4 linked regions of the Sus scrofa genome follow. The protein of the gene in region 4 purifies or fractionates together with the protein of the main gene of each other region. This does not show direct contact. Links are inferred from orthologs where the notes say so. Each region holds a gene or a part of one and is shown on either strand. Other genes may lie near its edges. The genes, in order: STRN3, STRN4, STRIP1 and MINK1.

Region 1 (4,204 bases), on a different chromosome or scaffold from region 4:
CACAGCAACTCGGAATCCAAGCTGCGTCTGCAACCTACACCACAGCTCACTGCAATGCCAGGGATCGAACCCACAACCTCATGGTTCTTAATTGGATTCGTTAACCACTGAGCCACGACAGGAACTCCTCAACACACACATTTTTAAATGTGTACCTCACAATCATTCTTACAAAGACTGAAGGCATGTAAAGCAAATGTTCTAAAAACAAACCTGGAGACCTATGAACGAAGGAGCCCAAGAAAACATTTTAGAAACATAGGGCAAAAACGCACAAACACAATCATGAACATTTTATTACAGAAGAATCAGTGTGAATTGATAAAAAAAAATCCCTGGGAAAAAAGTGAGGCTAAAAACACTGTAGAACTTCTTTAAAATAAGCAAAGAAAGTTTAGAATGGCTTTATCAGAACTAAATATTTCAATAGTAAATAAACTGAAAGCAAGCAAGCAAAATGAATCGTCCTTAAAAGACATTTCTGTTACTGTCAAGAAGAGAACTAGAAGAGAAAGTAAAGACTAGGGCAGACAATATAGATAGGCCTCAATGTTGTACAGATTTTACCAAATTGGACACAAGACATTTTTCAGCTACTTACAGCAAGCAGTGAAGGCTATGAATGACTAATGCACTTGCTAGCTTGAAAAGTGTTTAAATTCAAGCTTTCCTACAACAGTAAAAAGGTTATAAACATGGTATCAAGGAGTTGTGAAGCATTATTTAGTGAGTCTAAACCTCAATGAAAATTTTTAAAAATACATGACTCATACAGAATATTAAGTATATACATAGAGATATTTTAAAACAGACTATACACAAGTTAACAACAATTTTGACTTAAGCTTTTTAAGTTATATTTTTAAACAATTTTCACTTAAGCTTTTTAAGCCATATTTTTAAAAGCTCAGTGGTATATCAAAGTACAATGTTAAAACACTGAATTGACTAACAGGTGTTAATTTATAATTAATTTCCTCAAGACTTGACAAAGTGTCAAAATATATGTTTTACTTTTTAAAAGTTTAACTTTACCCACTTTGTGGAGTCAAAAGTCGACTAGTTCCAAATCAAACTGAAGATATATATATTGAGGGCACACTCTTTTTAAGTTAATCCAATCTTCCTTCTTACAACACTACATTTTCCTAACTATTCACCCAAGGCATATATGACATACATGTCAGTGAACAATACTGCTTACATGCTAAATATATACCACTATGAAGAACAGGTGCAACACTATTTAGATGCACCCTTTTTTTTTTCTTCTAAGCCTAAATCTGCCTTGGAAAGGAATTTAAAAATAAATACAAACATCCAAAAGGGTTGAATAATCCTTTTTAAAAGTTATAGCCACTCTCAAATCCAAGATAAAAGCCCTTAAACTACCAACATCTTCCAAAAGTTAGGTAAACCAACCTATCCAAGTTTCATCTTAAAATTGAGTTCGGCTCAATTATGGAGGATCCTGAGAATATTTAACATTGCTTCCTTTACTTGAGTTAGTACCGTTGAGACAAGTACTTTTTACTTCAAGCTAATATCAAATCTTCCCTCAGTCGTTTCAAAAAGACAGGACAGATACTCTGGATAGGCTTTTTATGGGTAAAGATGGGGGATGGAGAAGGGGGAGCCCGGTGAAGGGTACTCCAAAAAGAAAAATTCAGCACAGAGAAGTGTTGATGAGTCAGTCACTAAGGAAGAAGTCAAAGGGAATCTAAGTGAGTAAGGCAGCATCCCAGGTAAGTAGACACTTAAAGTTGGCGGCAGGAAATGAAAACTTCACAGGTCAGCCGCAAGCCATTGTGCTCGGTGGCAGCTCTGGAAAGAAGCCTGGCTGTCAACTAGTAAGAGCTACCAACTCCGGGGGAGGGGGTCAGGCAAGTCAACTCGAAAAGAGGGGTGGTTCGGGAAAAGGTGGTAAAATGCCCATGCCAGTCCTTCTCCTCGGGTTCTCCATTTCACGAGGTACAAACGAGAGCAAGTTCAGTGCCCAGCAGCCCCACGCCAGGAACTTTCCCACAGAGAGGAACTCAGCCCCAAGACCCGGAGGCCCGGGCAGGCGGCCTCCGAAGGAGCCCCCGCGGACGCCATACTAACAGCCAAAATGGCTGCCCCAAGGAAGCCCGCACCGCGCAGCTAGAGAGGGCTGGGTAACAAGCTTGTGCGGTAAAAGGGGAGGGGGACTCTAGGAAGACCCGTCGCCAGGACCATCACCCATCCAGCCGCGCAGGTAGGTTCCTCTCGGCCTCCCTAGGCCTCGAGCTCCGAATGAGGGGAGTTCCGGCCCCACCCCCGGGCAGACAACCCCGCCGCCGCTGCTGTCCCGCACACCAACCCCAAGGAGGTACCTGCAGTTCGGCCCGCTCCACCTCCCAGTGCGCCCGTTCCATCTCGAACCGAGCCCACTCGTGCTGGATGTAGTGCAGGATCCCCGGGATAGTGTACTGCTGCGGCCGGGACAGCTCGGGGCCTGTCGCGGGACCGGCTCCCTCGGCGGCCGGAGGACCTCCGCTGCCCGCTGCTCCATTCCCCCCTGACGAAAGGCTCATGTTCCCCCCAGGTCCCTGCTGCTGCCGTGGAGGGGCCGCCATCCCCGGGCCGCCACCACCGCCTCCGGCGAGCTCGTCCATTGTGTGTGGGGCCCCGGCTGGGGCGCAGGGCGAGACGCCGACGGCTGGGGGAAGGGGCCGGGGAAGGTGGCCCCGCGCTGGTGGCGGGGCGGAGGCCGGCTGGAAGAGGGGCGGGGAGGGGGTTGTTGCTGTATGCCTGCCGTGGGTCAGAGCAGGGAGCTGCCGGCCGCCGCCATTACAGTCCCTCCTCCATCTGCCCGTCTCACTCACTCACTTTAGGGGAAGGGGGGGCCGCGGTGGGAGGGCGAGAGGGGGCAGGGTTGGGAAGGGGATAGACGTAGGGCCGCCGCTCCCGCGCAGCATGCCGGGTAGAGAACGCCACTGCTGCCGCTCGCCTGGTAGCCAAATAGAGTCCGGCCTCACCCTACGCAGGCGTACTGAGGAAGCAGGGTTGCCGTTAGAGGCGGGGAAGGAGCGCCAGCCCCGCCCTAGGCCCGCCCTCAGACCCGCTTCGGGTGTCTGGCTGCCCCCGCGGAGCCCGTGGGCTGTAGACTCCGACCTTTGGGGTCGAGTAGGTGTCGTCCTTTCTAGCAAGGGGTTTCCCTCGCTCAGTCAGCCCCCGCCGTTCCCACCCAAGGGTCTCGGCTGCGATTCTGCCTTCGAAGCTGAGTTTTAACCTGGCTGGTCGCTCTGGCCGGCCGCCGCCGGTCCTGAATTCCTGGCGTTTCTTTTGCATTCCTTGCGTGTTTCAGGCAGTCCCAGAGGATCGGGCCTCTTTCTCTGCCTGTCACTCGCTCTTTTTCTGGTTTCCTAACACCAGTCAGTTCCCTGGGCTTTGGGGACGTTCTCTTTTTGGCAAATAGCCCAGATCCTCCCGGACGTAGCGGCCGATTCCCTGTCTCTGGGCTTTGGACCGAATTCTGTGCTCCCTGTCGCACGTCGCAACTTGTTCCACTTTGCCTCCCTTCTTTATTATTCTGGGATGGAGTGTGTTTGGTGGGGGGGGGGGGGTTGGAAGGGAACAGGACCGATTGTTTTCATTTTTCTTTTGGGATAAGGGAACGTGAAAAACTTTAGATCTCGAAGCTAGGTGGAGGAAGAAAGAAAACTTTGAAGGAGAGTGGTTAAATTTGATGTTTTAGAAGTGAATAACTCAAAAATAATGTCATTCATAGCTGAATCTTTTGATGGAAATAGAAAATAAACACCCTGAAGACATCTTTTTTCCTTTTTTAAATTCCCCCCCCCACTTTTTTTTTGGCCCTGCCCATGGCATGTGGAAGTTCCCAGGCCAGGGGTGTACCCGCGCTGCAGTAACAGCCCTAGCTGCTGCAGTGATGATGCTGGATTCTTAACCTGCTGCTCCACAGGGGACCCTGAAGACATTGTAAAATCCTAAGTGAATGCCTAAGAATGTTTTCCTGGGTTGTTTTGAATGAATATAATGTATACAAAAAAGACAAGGTTAATCTTAAGTACCATAGTGTGTTTTCTTTTTAATGTGCTTAGTTGCCAAGGAACATCCTTAATGAACTGTTACGTTTCTAAAAGTTAATATAGCCAACAACCATTTGGTTAAAAAAGCCAAAAATAATATTTACCATTATGATAAGGAAAAAAGATTCATT
Region 2 (4,259 bases), on a different chromosome or scaffold from region 4:
AATGAGCTGGGATACAAACACCAGTGGAATATAGTTTTCAAAAACAGTGAGTATTGCTCTCTGTGCTGATATGAAAGGAACACCAAGACGCATGACTATGTGGGAAAAAAGGTCACAAAATGATACACATGATATGATCTCATATATTACACACATGGAGCTGAACTACTTTCACAGAAAACAGTTGGGGAGGCGAGTTAGGGAGCAGGTCAGGAAAGGGACGGGGGTCCCCTTCACTCACATGTATGTAATATGTGCACACAGATGCCTGAGCGCTTTGAATGTGCGCTAACATAACAGAACAAAAGAAAACAAAGTGAGTGGCGCCGGAGGCTAGACAAAGGAGCGTCTAAGCGGGTGCTATCCACAACTTTCTCCCAAAGCCCAAGAAGACCACTAAGGAGGGGAACAGACACATCTTTTCTCTTGTTTGTCTCAAAGATGAGGAGGTGGGTTGGGGGGTGCTGCAGGCTGCACAGGTGTGAAGTCCCAGACACCAAGCACCAAGATTTAACCCCAGGTCTGCTGTGACTGCTTGGACGTTCCCGCAGAGGCCAGAACTTCCTGGAACAGGCTTCTCCTCTGTCCTGGGCATCAGAGAAGTATAACGCATGGGCTCGAAAGCCCACAGACCACCTCTGCCACCCACAGGCTATGAGTCTAGATAAATCACTGACCTGCTCAAAGCCTCCACTTCCTCTTCTGCTTGATTTCTTTAAAGGGGAGGGAAGGGGGGGAATATCACTTACCCTCCCAGAAGGTTGCAAGGATTTATTTAAAGTGCCTGACACAATGCCTGGCACATAGTATGTGCTCAATAAACAGCAGCTGCGATAGCAGCTGCTGAGCGAGGGCAAGGACACTGGCCCTGCCTACATGAAGGGGTACTAAGAAGATCTAAAAAGACGTACTCTGGGAAAGAGCTCTGGAAGGAGAGATGGAACACAAAAACAAGGGGTACTTGCATAAGGATTTCTCTCCCACCCAACCCCCCCAGCACCAAGCCTCAGCTACCACAGAGCCAGGATCCCTACAGGGGTGGGAGAATTGCGGGATGCTCTCTCTATTCATCCCATGGACAAAATTCTAACCAGGTGTTTCTTTCAGTCCCCACCTCTCCTAGACAGGAAACAGCAAATCAGAGGGGGAAAGATGCTAGAAGCAGGCGCTGACTTCTGCTGATAACACCACAGACCAGGACCCCTCAGACTCCTGGCAGCACATCCTTAGAACCCTTAAAATCCTCACAATTCTGATACCCAGGCTCCTAGGGACACCCAGCAAACGGACCCACATCTCTCAAGGTCACAAAACCCAGCCCAGCTCCTCGGCGCCTTCCAAACATCATCCCAGGGGTACAGCCCTCCCTCAAGCTACTCCACAAACCAGAGTCCTTTCCCAGAAACTTCCACAAACACTACCCCCCACCCCAGGATCTTTGTGAGATTCTTCCTCTGGCTGCCTTCCTGCTCTACAAAATGCTCCCCGCCACCCCCAGATTCGGCCAATTCCTCGTGTCTTCACCCCACGCCCCAGCTCCACCGCTGGACACGGCCGACCTCCTCTCATTCCAGGTCGGGGCTCTGCACCTGACATCTTCCACACCTCCCATCTCTGGGCGGGAGTCCCCCCATCTCCCACATCCCCGAAGAGTTTCTCGGCTCTCAAGCTCTTCCAGCACAGGCTCCTGGGGCACGTCCTGGCCCCCTCCATGATTCCACCCCCGGGATCCCTTCCCGGGAGGCGGTAGCGACGCACTGCCAAGGCTCCACAAAGTTTCCTCCTCAGAGGGAAGGGGCACACACCTTCATCTGACACCCCCGAGACCTCGCTCTCCTCCCCGGAGTCCCGGCAGAGCCATCTTTCAGTCCCCGCCGTCCTAACACTCCGAAACAAACCCGTCCTGAGCTCCCTGACTTCCTCTCCCTACTCACAAGGGAGCCCAGCCCCGACCTGCTCTCGACTCCGGCGAGTCCCAAGTCCCCCCAACGTCCCCTCTTCCCACCCGGGGCCCGCCGGGCTCCACCTCCAACGGGGACGGAGTGTGACTCCCTCAGCACCCTGCATGTTCTTTGCTCACTCCCGTACAAGACCCCTCCATGCCCTCTCATCACCCTTGGCCGAGTTCTCTTGGGGTCCGCTCGGGTCCCCGAGGCCACTCTCTCAGGGACCCTTCGGCCAGTCCGTTCACCCCCACTCCCACTCCCAGCCGGTTCTGGTCCCCTGCGCCCTTTCTCTTGGCTGCCCCGGTCGGGCCCTCCAGCCCCTGGGCCCCCCTCCCGTCTCCAGCCGCCCAGGAGCCCTCAGGACCCCCCTCGGACGGCCCCTCACTCCGTCTGCGGGCCGGTCGCGGTCCCCTCCCGCCCCCCCCCGGCAGTCCCGGCGGCCATTGCTCCAAGATGGCGGCGGCGGCAGCGGCGGGTGAGGCCGGGCCGGGCCGGGCCGGGCGGGGGGGTCGAGGGTCCCTGGGCGGCGCTCACCTGTAACTCGGCGCGGCGCTCACCTGTAACTCGGCGCGCTCCGCCTCCCAGCGGGCCTTCTCCGCTTCGAAGCGCGCCCACTCGTGCTGGATAAAGTGTAGGATCCCCGGCAGGCTCAGGGGCTCCGGCCCCGCCGTGGGGCCGGGGCTGCCTCCGCCGCCGCCTCCCTTGGCAGCCGGGCCGGGCCCGGGGGCGGGGGCAGAGACCGGAGCCGCCCCCGTCGGGCCCGGGCCCGCGCCGGAGCCGAGTGGGCGGCTGGAGGAAGCGGCGGCGGCGGCAGCGGCGGCCGCTCGCTCCTCCATCATGGAGGCCCCGGGGCCGGCCCGCGCGCCCGCTGTGCTTCGCGCGCCTGCGCGGCCGCGCCAGCCCTCGAGCGCGCGCTCGGCGGGGGCCGGGGGGGCCGGTGCCGGGAACGATGTCGGGCGCGCGCCTCGCCCACCCGGGTCGACCCCCAAGGCGCGCGCATGGAGGGGCGAGGAGGGGCGCGCGCCTGGAGGAGGGCAAACGCGACCCAGACCCCTTAGGAAGCGCAGGACTTTGGGAGGGGCCGCTTCCTGTACCCCTCCTCCGGCTTCACCCCAAAGAAAGATTCTAGCCCTCTCCAGACCCAAACACCACTCTCCTAGATCACCGTCCCTCTTTGAGAGAAAGGGCGACCACCAGGGGTGGTTTCACCGATGGCCCCATCCTGATTCCTGGCCCGGGGCGGTTGTCATGGTAACTCTTCCTCAGTCGGGGACACCCTTAGCCTCCCTTCCCCTCCACCTTTATGGTCCTGGAGCTCCACCTCTCCTGGCCCTGCACCTACCTATAGGAGGTTGCTAAGGTCACCCAAGTCCCCGGTGGTCCTTCGGCCCCTACCCTCCTTGGTTACTATGGCAACCTCACCTAGCGCTCAGGTAGAAAGGAGCCTGGCCCCAAGGACACTGCTGAGGGAAACATCTCTTTCCCAGCCCCTCTCCCCAGCCTCCTGGTTGGCATTACCATGGTAACCATCTCCCCCTTTCCCATGGTGGGAGGGCCTTGGACCAGCCAGGTGTTTTTATTTAGAGGAGGAGATGCTCTGCTGAGGAGTAGTTGTTATGGTTACAAGATGCGGGCTATCCCTAGGGAGGTGAGAAACTGGCAGAGCCAAGTCCTGGGTACTATGGTAATGGGGGCACTCTGCCTTCCAATGACCCTAGAACCAGGCCCACCAAGGTAGAAGACATTTTAGGATTGTCTCTCAGAATGTAATGTGTCTAGGGAAGGGGTTGTCATGGTAACACCTTCTATCACTTCTACCCCTACCTTTCTGGACACATTCACGAAAGAAGGGATGGGTATAGGTTGCTATGACAGCCTTCCTTTCACTGCTAAGATGCTTCAGGTAGGTGATGCCTGCCTGAGCTTATGAGATTTCATAAGATGAAATTGTGCCCTGTTGTGTGAAGTTGGTTGATTTGGGGTTTTCTGGTTCATCTTCCTTCAGCAGTGCAGCTGAGCTGGGCTGGAACCACCCCCTTGGAGTTCCGTCAGCCTGCACCCTAGGAGGTAAGCAGCCCCTCAGTGTCACCAGCACTCGTGGGAACTGCCCTTGTCCCCAAAGGTTTTTCTACATATCACTCATTTGCTCTACCCATCACATTCCCATTCTACAGATGCAGCAGTTGAGGTTCAAGCCAGGGCAGAATCTGGACCCACTTACATTGTTTTGTGGGGAGAGGAGAGACAAAATCTCAGCTTAAGTGTTCTCTCCTCCCATGGCCACCTTTTTCTCTCTCACGCCCCCTGCTGGTT
Region 3 (3,558 bases), on a different chromosome or scaffold from region 4:
ACGACTTCAGGGGAGGCACAGAGGAATGGGGGATGATGACGGAGGCCAAGCCCTGCAGCCTCTCCAAGGCCTTCCGAGACCTCCACCCTGATACCACAAAAGCAGGAGCCAGGTTCTTCCCTGTGCCTCGGAGGGATGCTTAGCACAGAGAAGGAAAGTTGTCACCTCCTCCCCGACCCGCCTTGTGCAGAACCACACTCACCGTTGCCGTAGGCCCAGTCGTCGTTCAGCCGGTGTCGCACCTTCTGGTAGATGGCAGACATGGTCTTCATGTTGCTCTTTCGCCACTGCCGCCCCAGGTACTTGGTCTGCACCTTGAGCAGCTTCAGCACATAGAGCTGCATCATGGCCTGTTTCACCTTCAGCGCCCGCTTCAAGATGGGGGCTGACTTGAACACCACCAGCATCTGGAGAGGGCACAAGAGAGGCCCACGTTAAGGGCAGAAGTAAATGCCTGCGCCGTCGCCCCGCTGCTAGCCCTCTTGGGGACATGGTTACAGTGACCGAGTGCTGCGGGCTTCCCCAGACTGAGGGGTGTCCTGGGACATGGGGCTTCCACAGCAGACCAGGACAGCCCTAGCAAACCTGGATGGTTGGTCACCCTAATTACGGGTCGGTCTGGAAGAAAGCTATGAATTCCTTCGCCAGAACTATCCCTACGTGCACATGTATACACCTGCAGTGAATTCATGGACCGCCCCACCCCAAGGCATCTGCAGACTCAAGGTTAAGGATGCTCAGAACCCTGGTATGTGGAGATTAAGAGGACACAGAAAATTCCTTCTATACACGTGGATTTATTTCAGTGCATGACTGAGCCTCTTCCAGCTTCCAGTTCAACTCATCAAGGAACCAGGGATCAGCCCTTAAGATGCAAGTCCACCCTGGGGACTCCCTGCACCATGTGAAGGGGACAGGACAGCATGTGGCACTTGGCTTTGAGCTCCACATTTCACACCTGCTGACTGCGCTGACTCACCATTGTCCTCGAATGCTTCCATTTTGTCAGCTTGTTCAAGATCCGAAGCAGATTGATACAAGAAAAGAGGTTCCTCCAGCAAAACTGGTTATTGTCACCTGCTTCCTGCAGGGAAAACCCAGGAACACTCATCACCTGCACAGCCCCAGGTGCTCAGCAGCTTCCAAGGCCCTCACTTATATGACCTCAGCACTGCAGGGTCTCTCCATGCCTGTACCAGGAACCCTCTGCTCCCCTCAGCACAGGGGGACCTCCACCCCAGAAGCTGCCAGATGGTACTTCTATACAATGGGCTACTACGCAGCCGTAAAAAAGAACGAAGTAGCCATGCTCAGCAACGTGGACGCAATCAAAGCATGTCATACTAAGTGAAGTAAGTCAGAGGAAGATGAACACCCTATGATATCACTCAAGTGTGGAATCTAAAATACAGCACAAATGAACCTATCTCAAAACAGAAACAGACTCACACACAGAGAACAGACTTGTGGTTGCCAAGGGGGAGCGGGGAGGGGGCAGAGTGGTAGAGACCGGAAGTTTGGGGTTAGCAGATGCAGACTATTGTATTTAGAAAGGATAAACAACAAGGTCCTACTGTACAGCACAGGGAACTATCTCCAATCTCCCGGACAGACCACGATAGAAAAGAACATTAAAAATGTGTGTGTGTATACAAACATCTGAGTCACTTTGCTGTACAGCAGAAATTGGCACAACATTGTAAATCAACTAGACTTAATTTTTTTTTTTTTTTTTTTTTTTTTTTTTTTTTTTTTTGCTTTTTAGGGCCACAACTGCAGCATAGCAGCATATGGAGGTTCCCAGGCTAGGGGTTGAACTGGAGCTGTAGCCGCCGGCCTACACCACAGCCACAGCAACACCACATCCAAGTCGTGCCTGTGACCTACACCACAGCTCACGGAAATGTCGGATCCTTAACCCCCTGAGTGAGGCCAGGGATCGAACCCACGTCCTCATGGATACTAGTCAGGTTCGTTAACCACTGAGCCACAATGGGAACGCCTACAAAAATTGTTTTTAATTAAAAAAAAAAAAGAAGTTGGCAACAGATAGGGAGTGCTCCCTAAATTTTCTTGCAGGAAACATGGAGTGTGATAGTAGCGGCTGTGGCCTCGGCTTCCACTTCCCTCAGAGCTGTGGCCCCCAGAGTTCCAGTGTGGGGAGCGGGAAGCAAGTTGACCAGGCGAGCTCTGGGTCAGCAGCCCCTGGAGTCCACACTCCTGATGAAATAATCCCTCTGCAAGCTTCCTCCCCGGGTCCCTCTACGCAGTCACAGTGCTTCCACACTGACCCTCAGGCCACAGGGAGCACTGGGAAGAGCCCACCACTCACCAGACTCTCGGCAGTCAGCTCGGGTAGCTCGTGCACCACGCAGTGAGGGTAGTCCAGGACAGAAATGCTGCAGAGGGCAAGGGAAGCCAGGCCTCACCAGGAGCAAGGGTGGCGCCGGGCGAGCAGCTGTGACAGGACTGGCTCCTGGCACTCCTCCCTCACTTACTGGAGCAGAGGCTGGAATCTACTTGCCTGCACCACCCGGTTTCCCCAGCCACAAGACAGGGAACACCTGCGCCAGGACAACCTGAGCGGCCCTTCTGCAGCCAGTCAGACGTGTACCTGTAAGGGGTGGAGACCCTGCCTCCCTCACAGCAATAAATCTGGGGCTGAGGGGCAGGGATTTCTCAAGGCAATTAATTTATGCCAAGCGCCTACTGGAGACTGTCTGGTTAACTGCCAGCCAGCCTGTGGTGTATCATACTGATGAGTGGTCCACATCAGGCACAGCTGGCACCAGGTGAGGGGGTGGGGGTAAGAGTCAGCAGAAAGGCATTAGAATGCACATGAATAGGGTTCTCTGAGAAAGCAGGAGGCCTGCCCAAGAAGAGAAGAGAAGGAAAGAAAAGAGAAAAGAACAGAACAGAAAGCACAGAAGGCCAGTGAGGGCTGAGCCCAGGATGGGAACTCTCCTACCCAGGCACAGACAGAGTCACCTGTCACTAAACTGGCTAGACTTGGGTTTGACAAACTGACGTTTTCTACAGGCAGGGACCCTGAACCCTTCATCTTTGTGCCGATGTCTGGCTTGTGGGTGCTGAAAGGGCTCAGTGGGAGAGGCCAGCTAGGAGGCCTGCCATCTGCCCAGACCCACCCCTTCTTGATCCCTGGTTCTTATCACCTGTTCTTGGCAGTGATGTAGGACATGATGTTTTGATTGAAGAATTTTAGGATCAAAGGGATGCAGTTGGCAAACACCAGGTGCTGGGCCATGTATTCAAACTGAAACCAATGGGAAAAAAACATAAGCATAGCCCTTGGGACCCCACCCTCCTTCTTCCGCCAGAGGCCTGTGTCTCAGAACATTCATGCAGAGCTCAAAGGGGTTGGAAGGCCAGGGCCTCTGTTCTTAGGGGCTGGAGGAGCAGCACCGCCTGAGGCCCTGGCCCAGTGGACAGAAAGAAGGTGCTGCAAGTACCTGGTAGACGTGGTTCAACTTAAAGTGCTTGAGCAGCAGCAGTAGGACGGCAGAAATGGCCTTAACAATGACCTCTTTGTGGCGGTTC
Region 4 (4,120 bases):
TCTGCAGCATATGGAGGTTCCCAAGTTAGGGGTCGAATTGGAGCTGTAGTCACCAGCCTGCGCCACAGCCACAGCAACGTAGGATCCCAAGCCGTGTCTGTGACCTACACCACAGCTCATTATCCCACTGAGCGGGGCCCGGGATTGAACTTGCGTCCTCATGGTTACTAGTCAGTTTCCTTAACCACTGAGCCACGATGGGAACTCCCCCAAGGATTTTCCATTCAAACCCTCCTAAGTGATATTTACATTATGGCTAATGGTGGGATCTCTCAGAGATACCCTTGTTGCTGGAAGAGATCAAGCAGCCTTCTTCAAATTCACAGTGAAAGAAAGTCCCAGAGAAGCAAAGCAACCTGCTCAAGGTCACACAGCGTGTCTGTGGCAGAACACGAGTCCTTGCTCTTTATATAGCGTTACCCAGCCTCCAGTGAGGCTAATGGCTGGGGGTGCTATGCCTACACGACTAGACCTAAGGTGACCCAAGCAAGATTTGAAGGGGTTGGACATACATTCCTCCTCCTCCCCTCCTTGCCACCCCCTCCCCCCAGGCACAGCTCCAATGATCAGTCAATGAATAATTGTTGAAACAGTTCCTTGGTGCAGAACAAGAAGTGCAGAGACAAAGGTCGGCTGTAGGATTCCCTATTCTGAGATCTGAGATCCCCTCTTCCACACTCTCCACTCCAGCCAGGGAAGGGGGTAAGGGGCACTCCTCCGGCAGTTAGTGCCCCTCTCCACTCCCCAGCTCCCAGGTGGTTTCTCCAGCCAAGTTTTCAACTAGAGGCCCCTCCCTCGGCGGCTCCACTGTTGCCATGGCAATTAGGTGGGTGGACAGCCCATCCTATCTAGAGGCCACCCAGCCCTCGCGTGGGGAGTTACCATAACAACCCCCCCTAGTAATAGAGGAGGTTGGGTCCCGCCCCCTTCCCCCGCAAATAGAGAGGTGGGTGGCTTGATTGGCAGCTGGGCACACGAAAGAAGAGGGAAAGGGAAGGAAAGGCATCAAAGGAGAGCTCGGAAGGAAACGGGGGAGAGAAAGGGCAAAAAATAAGGGAAAGGAAGGAAACGCGTGTGCGCACGCGCGCCGGCTGGTGGGCGCGCTCCCCGGCCGCCTCGGCCTCCGCCCACTTCTTCCACGCCAGGCTCGCGCGGCCGCTCGGTCCTCGCGCGCGCCTTTCGCTCTCCCGCCTGCGCCTGCGCGCAGGTGTCGGCGCCGAGGGGGAGGGGGCGCTCGGCGCGCTCGCGTCACGTTCCCTCTTCCACCCTCCCGGTGCGCGGCCACTCGGCGCCTGCGCAGGACAGCGGGGAGGCTCGGGTTGCAGGCTCTGGGGCGCTCGCTCCTGTCAGTCGGTGGGTAGGTCCTCCCGCCGGCCCTCCCCCTCCCCGTTCTCCGGGGGAGGCGCGGTGGAGTCCGCCCCCAGGATCCCCCGATGGGGGAGAAGCGGCGACGGCGGCAGCGGAAAAACCGAGCCGGAGCGTGAGCGGCCCCGGGGCCCGGTTCCCCGCGGAGGCCATGGGCGACCCAGCCCCCGCCCGCAGCCTGGACGACATCGACCTGTCCGCCCTGCGGGTGAGCGCGCCGCCCCCCAGCCTCGCCCTGGTTCCAGTCCCCGCCGCAGGGGAGCGGGCGCCCGCACGCCTCGCGCGCTCCCCGGGCGCCCTGTCCCCCGCCGCGACCCCGGCCCCTCTCCCCCGCGCCCGCCGCAGCCGCCGCCGCCGGGCCCCCGCCCTCTGCTCCCGTCGGCTCTCCACGCGCTGCAGATTCTGGGAGCTAGTTCGGTCCCCGCCCTGGGGTGCCCCGCCCCCACACTTCCCTCCACCTCTACCTTTACTCCGGTTCCGGACCCCCTTCTCCCAGGTGCTTGAGGGTCACCCTCTGGCTCCCCTGAACCTGTAGGATCACCTCCCTGGCCCCTGACCTCCTCTGGGGCCTCTTTCCCCCCTTGCTCTTACTTAGGTCTTCTTCCTCCCCCTCCTCTTTCTCGCCTCCTCGAATTTTGACTTTGCCACTGCCTTGCCAGCCTCGCCCTCGTCGCCCTTTCTCCTCCTCGCCCGGCCGTGAATTGCATCTCTTTCCCGGTCGGCACTCCAGCCTCCCCGCTCGGCCTCACACCTCCCACCGCCGCCCTCATCCCCCTGCACAGCTCTCCCCGTGCCTGCGGTCGCGTTTCAAGTGCAGCAGTCCAGAACCAGGCATTTCCGGTCTCAGGGTCCCCGCATATTACATTACCAACTCTGCAGCAGTGTGGGGCTGGGAGGAAAGACAAGTGCACTGGGGGAGGAGGGGACGCCTTTCTTATCTTCAGAAACTCTGGCCTGGGCCGGGAAGAGGATGTTTATATGTATGTACACACACAAACACAACGCAGCCTGTGGTCCATCAGGTTTGGAAAAGCCTGGGTATTCGTGGCTTTGCTGGCGGGAGGGGGAGGCAATGGAGATCTCGGGGGGGGGGGGGGTTCATTAGAAAAGGGATCCGAGGAAACCACTGCAGCAGCAATTTCTTGCAAGTACCCATTTGTTGTCCCTCCTGGGGTTCCTGCGTGCCCTCATTTGGGAGCTTTCAGAAGCATTTGTGTGTTTTTCTTCAGCAGGGAGCCCTGGCTTAAGGGGCAATTGAGTGATTTCAAGGTGAAGACCCTTGCCAGTCACCCAGAGGGGGGTTTTTGTCTCGTGTCCTTCGGGCTTTCTCAGCAGGCTAAGGGGTTGGCCAGGGCACGATTTCCCGTCTCTGGGTTAGCTGCTCAGGAGGCCCCTGTTGAAGTTGTCTTCTGGCTTTTGAGTTAGCCGAGGAGCCCGGCAAGTAGTGGGGAGAGGCGGTCAGCTGCACGGGTGCCCCCGATATGACTGGAGGGGAGAGGGGAATTGAAGAGAGCAGAGTCATGTCGTTAATTGGGTTTCTCTAGGTGACACAGTTTTCCTTGCCATTCAGGTCATAATTTGTTCGGTGCAGTTGTTGGGCTAGGAGACCTGACTTGCTGGAGATAAGGTGATAAGTTGCCCAGGAGGGAGACTGAGCCCTGAATTTCTCTCTTTCTCTCCTCCTCCTTGTGGGTAGGGGGGTGTGTGGATGTGCTTTGGGGGAGAGAGGGTCTCATGGTTTTAGGAGGGAGGTTCTTAATTAAGGTCACTTTCAAGTGTGATGCTCACGTTAAGCCAGCTGGGGTGTGAGATGGAAATCCAGGCTCCCCTTAATCAGCTTGTCTTTGGGATGAACCCCCACCTTCCCTCTGCACCTTGGTTGTTGATTAACTTGGGCGACAGGTCCCTGTGGGGACTGAAATATAATAAACGGGTGGGTCCAAACCGTGACCTTTGGTTTCAACCTTGTGGGACTCTGCTTGGGCTTCTCCTTTCCTTTGGCCTCTTCTGGTAGGTTGGCCTCGACCCGGGATTTCCAACAATTCTGCAAACACCGTCTGACCTTGGATGTGGTATTTCCCTTCCGGACCTCTCTACTTGAAGCAGTGTCAGCCTCTTTCCTCACCTGCCTCTCGCCTTACTCGCCGTGCCCTTCCTCAAGAGAGCCCCTCGACCTGCTCTCAGTGCTGGTGTCTTTGCTGCCTCATGCTTCCTAGGAAAGCATTGGCCTTCTCCCACTACCACCCCAGGGCTTGAGGGAGTGCTTTCTTTGAAATGGGGCTGCAGAGGGCGGCTTTCTCCTTGCCGCTGACCTTTTCCCGGGGCCTAGGAGAGCCCCCATGGCACTGTGGAGCAGCTTGCTCAGTCATCTTTTGTTCTGCTCCTGTTTTCCAGCGAGAAATGGCAACCTGGAGGCTATAGCAGAAAAGCACGTTTCCCTGCACGACGGCATCTTGCGATGGGGGCCTGGGGAGGGGCTGGGAGGACACACTCAGCGTTTATTAACCAGCCTCGAAGAGCCCAGGGTGTCTTCTCTTGTTTCAAGATAAGGCTTGGCTCGCAGCTGGTGATGAGAGTAATGGCCTGATGTTGGGGGAGATTGAATTGCACCATCTCTCAGCCGTGTGTGTGGGGAGCCCGGTGGACCTGCCGCTCTGTGACCCCAGGCACCCTTGACCTCTTTGAGGCTCCACCCGCTCAGCAGCATGGGCTTGTTTTCCTGCTTTCTCGCTCACTCTGTAACCTTGACCTTTCT

What was found.
Region 1: the proteins of MINK1 (region 4) and STRN3 purify together in Homo sapiens (affinity purification with mass spectrometry; 3 studies listed by BioGRID and IntAct, with this or other methods). This does not show direct contact. The link is inferred for Sus scrofa from reciprocal best matches to the Homo sapiens genes MINK1 and STRN3.
Region 2: the proteins of MINK1 (region 4) and STRN4 purify together in Homo sapiens (affinity purification with mass spectrometry; 3 studies listed by BioGRID and IntAct, with this or other methods). This does not show direct contact. The link is inferred for Sus scrofa from reciprocal best matches to the Homo sapiens genes MINK1 and STRN4.
Region 3: the proteins of MINK1 (region 4) and STRIP1 purify together in Homo sapiens (affinity purification with mass spectrometry; 3 studies listed by BioGRID and IntAct, with this or other methods). This does not show direct contact. The link is inferred for Sus scrofa from reciprocal best matches to the Homo sapiens genes MINK1 and STRIP1.

Annotation. Positions count from the first base shown.
Region 1 is NC_010449.5:68,469,541-68,473,744, reverse strand, and holds the start of STRN3 (striatin-3), read right to left. Parts: upstream 2,849-4,204; 5' UTR 2,637-2,848; coding exon 2,355-2,636; intron 2,237-2,354; exon of another isoform or gene 1-2,236. UniProt on the Homo sapiens protein: Calmodulin-binding scaffolding protein which is the center of the striatin-interacting phosphatase and kinase (STRIPAK) complexes.
Region 2 is NC_010448.4:52,625,098-52,629,356, forward strand, and holds the start of STRN4 (striatin-4), read right to left. Parts: upstream 2,814-4,259; 5' UTR 2,786-2,813; coding exon 2,504-2,785; intron 2,422-2,503; exon of another isoform or gene 2,369-2,421; intron 1-2,368. UniProt on the Homo sapiens protein: Calmodulin-binding scaffolding protein which is the center of the striatin-interacting phosphatase and kinase (STRIPAK) complexes.
Region 3 is NC_010446.5:110,064,008-110,067,565, forward strand, and holds part of STRIP1 (striatin-interacting protein 1), read right to left. Parts: coding exon 3,471-3,558; intron 3,275-3,470; coding exon 3,174-3,274; intron 2,400-3,173; coding exon 2,333-2,399; intron 1,085-2,332; coding exon 980-1,084; intron 408-979; coding exon 203-407; intron 1-202. UniProt on the Homo sapiens protein: Plays a role in the regulation of cell morphology and cytoskeletal organization. Required in the cortical actin filament dynamics and cell shape. Part of the striatin-interacting phosphatase and kinase (STRIPAK) complexes.
Region 4 is NC_010454.4:52,063,717-52,067,836, reverse strand, and holds the start of MINK1 (misshapen-like kinase 1), read left to right. Parts: upstream 1-1,268; 5' UTR 1,269-1,516; coding exon 1,517-1,573; intron 1,574-4,120. UniProt on the Homo sapiens protein: Serine/threonine kinase which acts as a negative regulator of Ras-related Rap2-mediated signal transduction to control neuronal structure and AMPA receptor trafficking.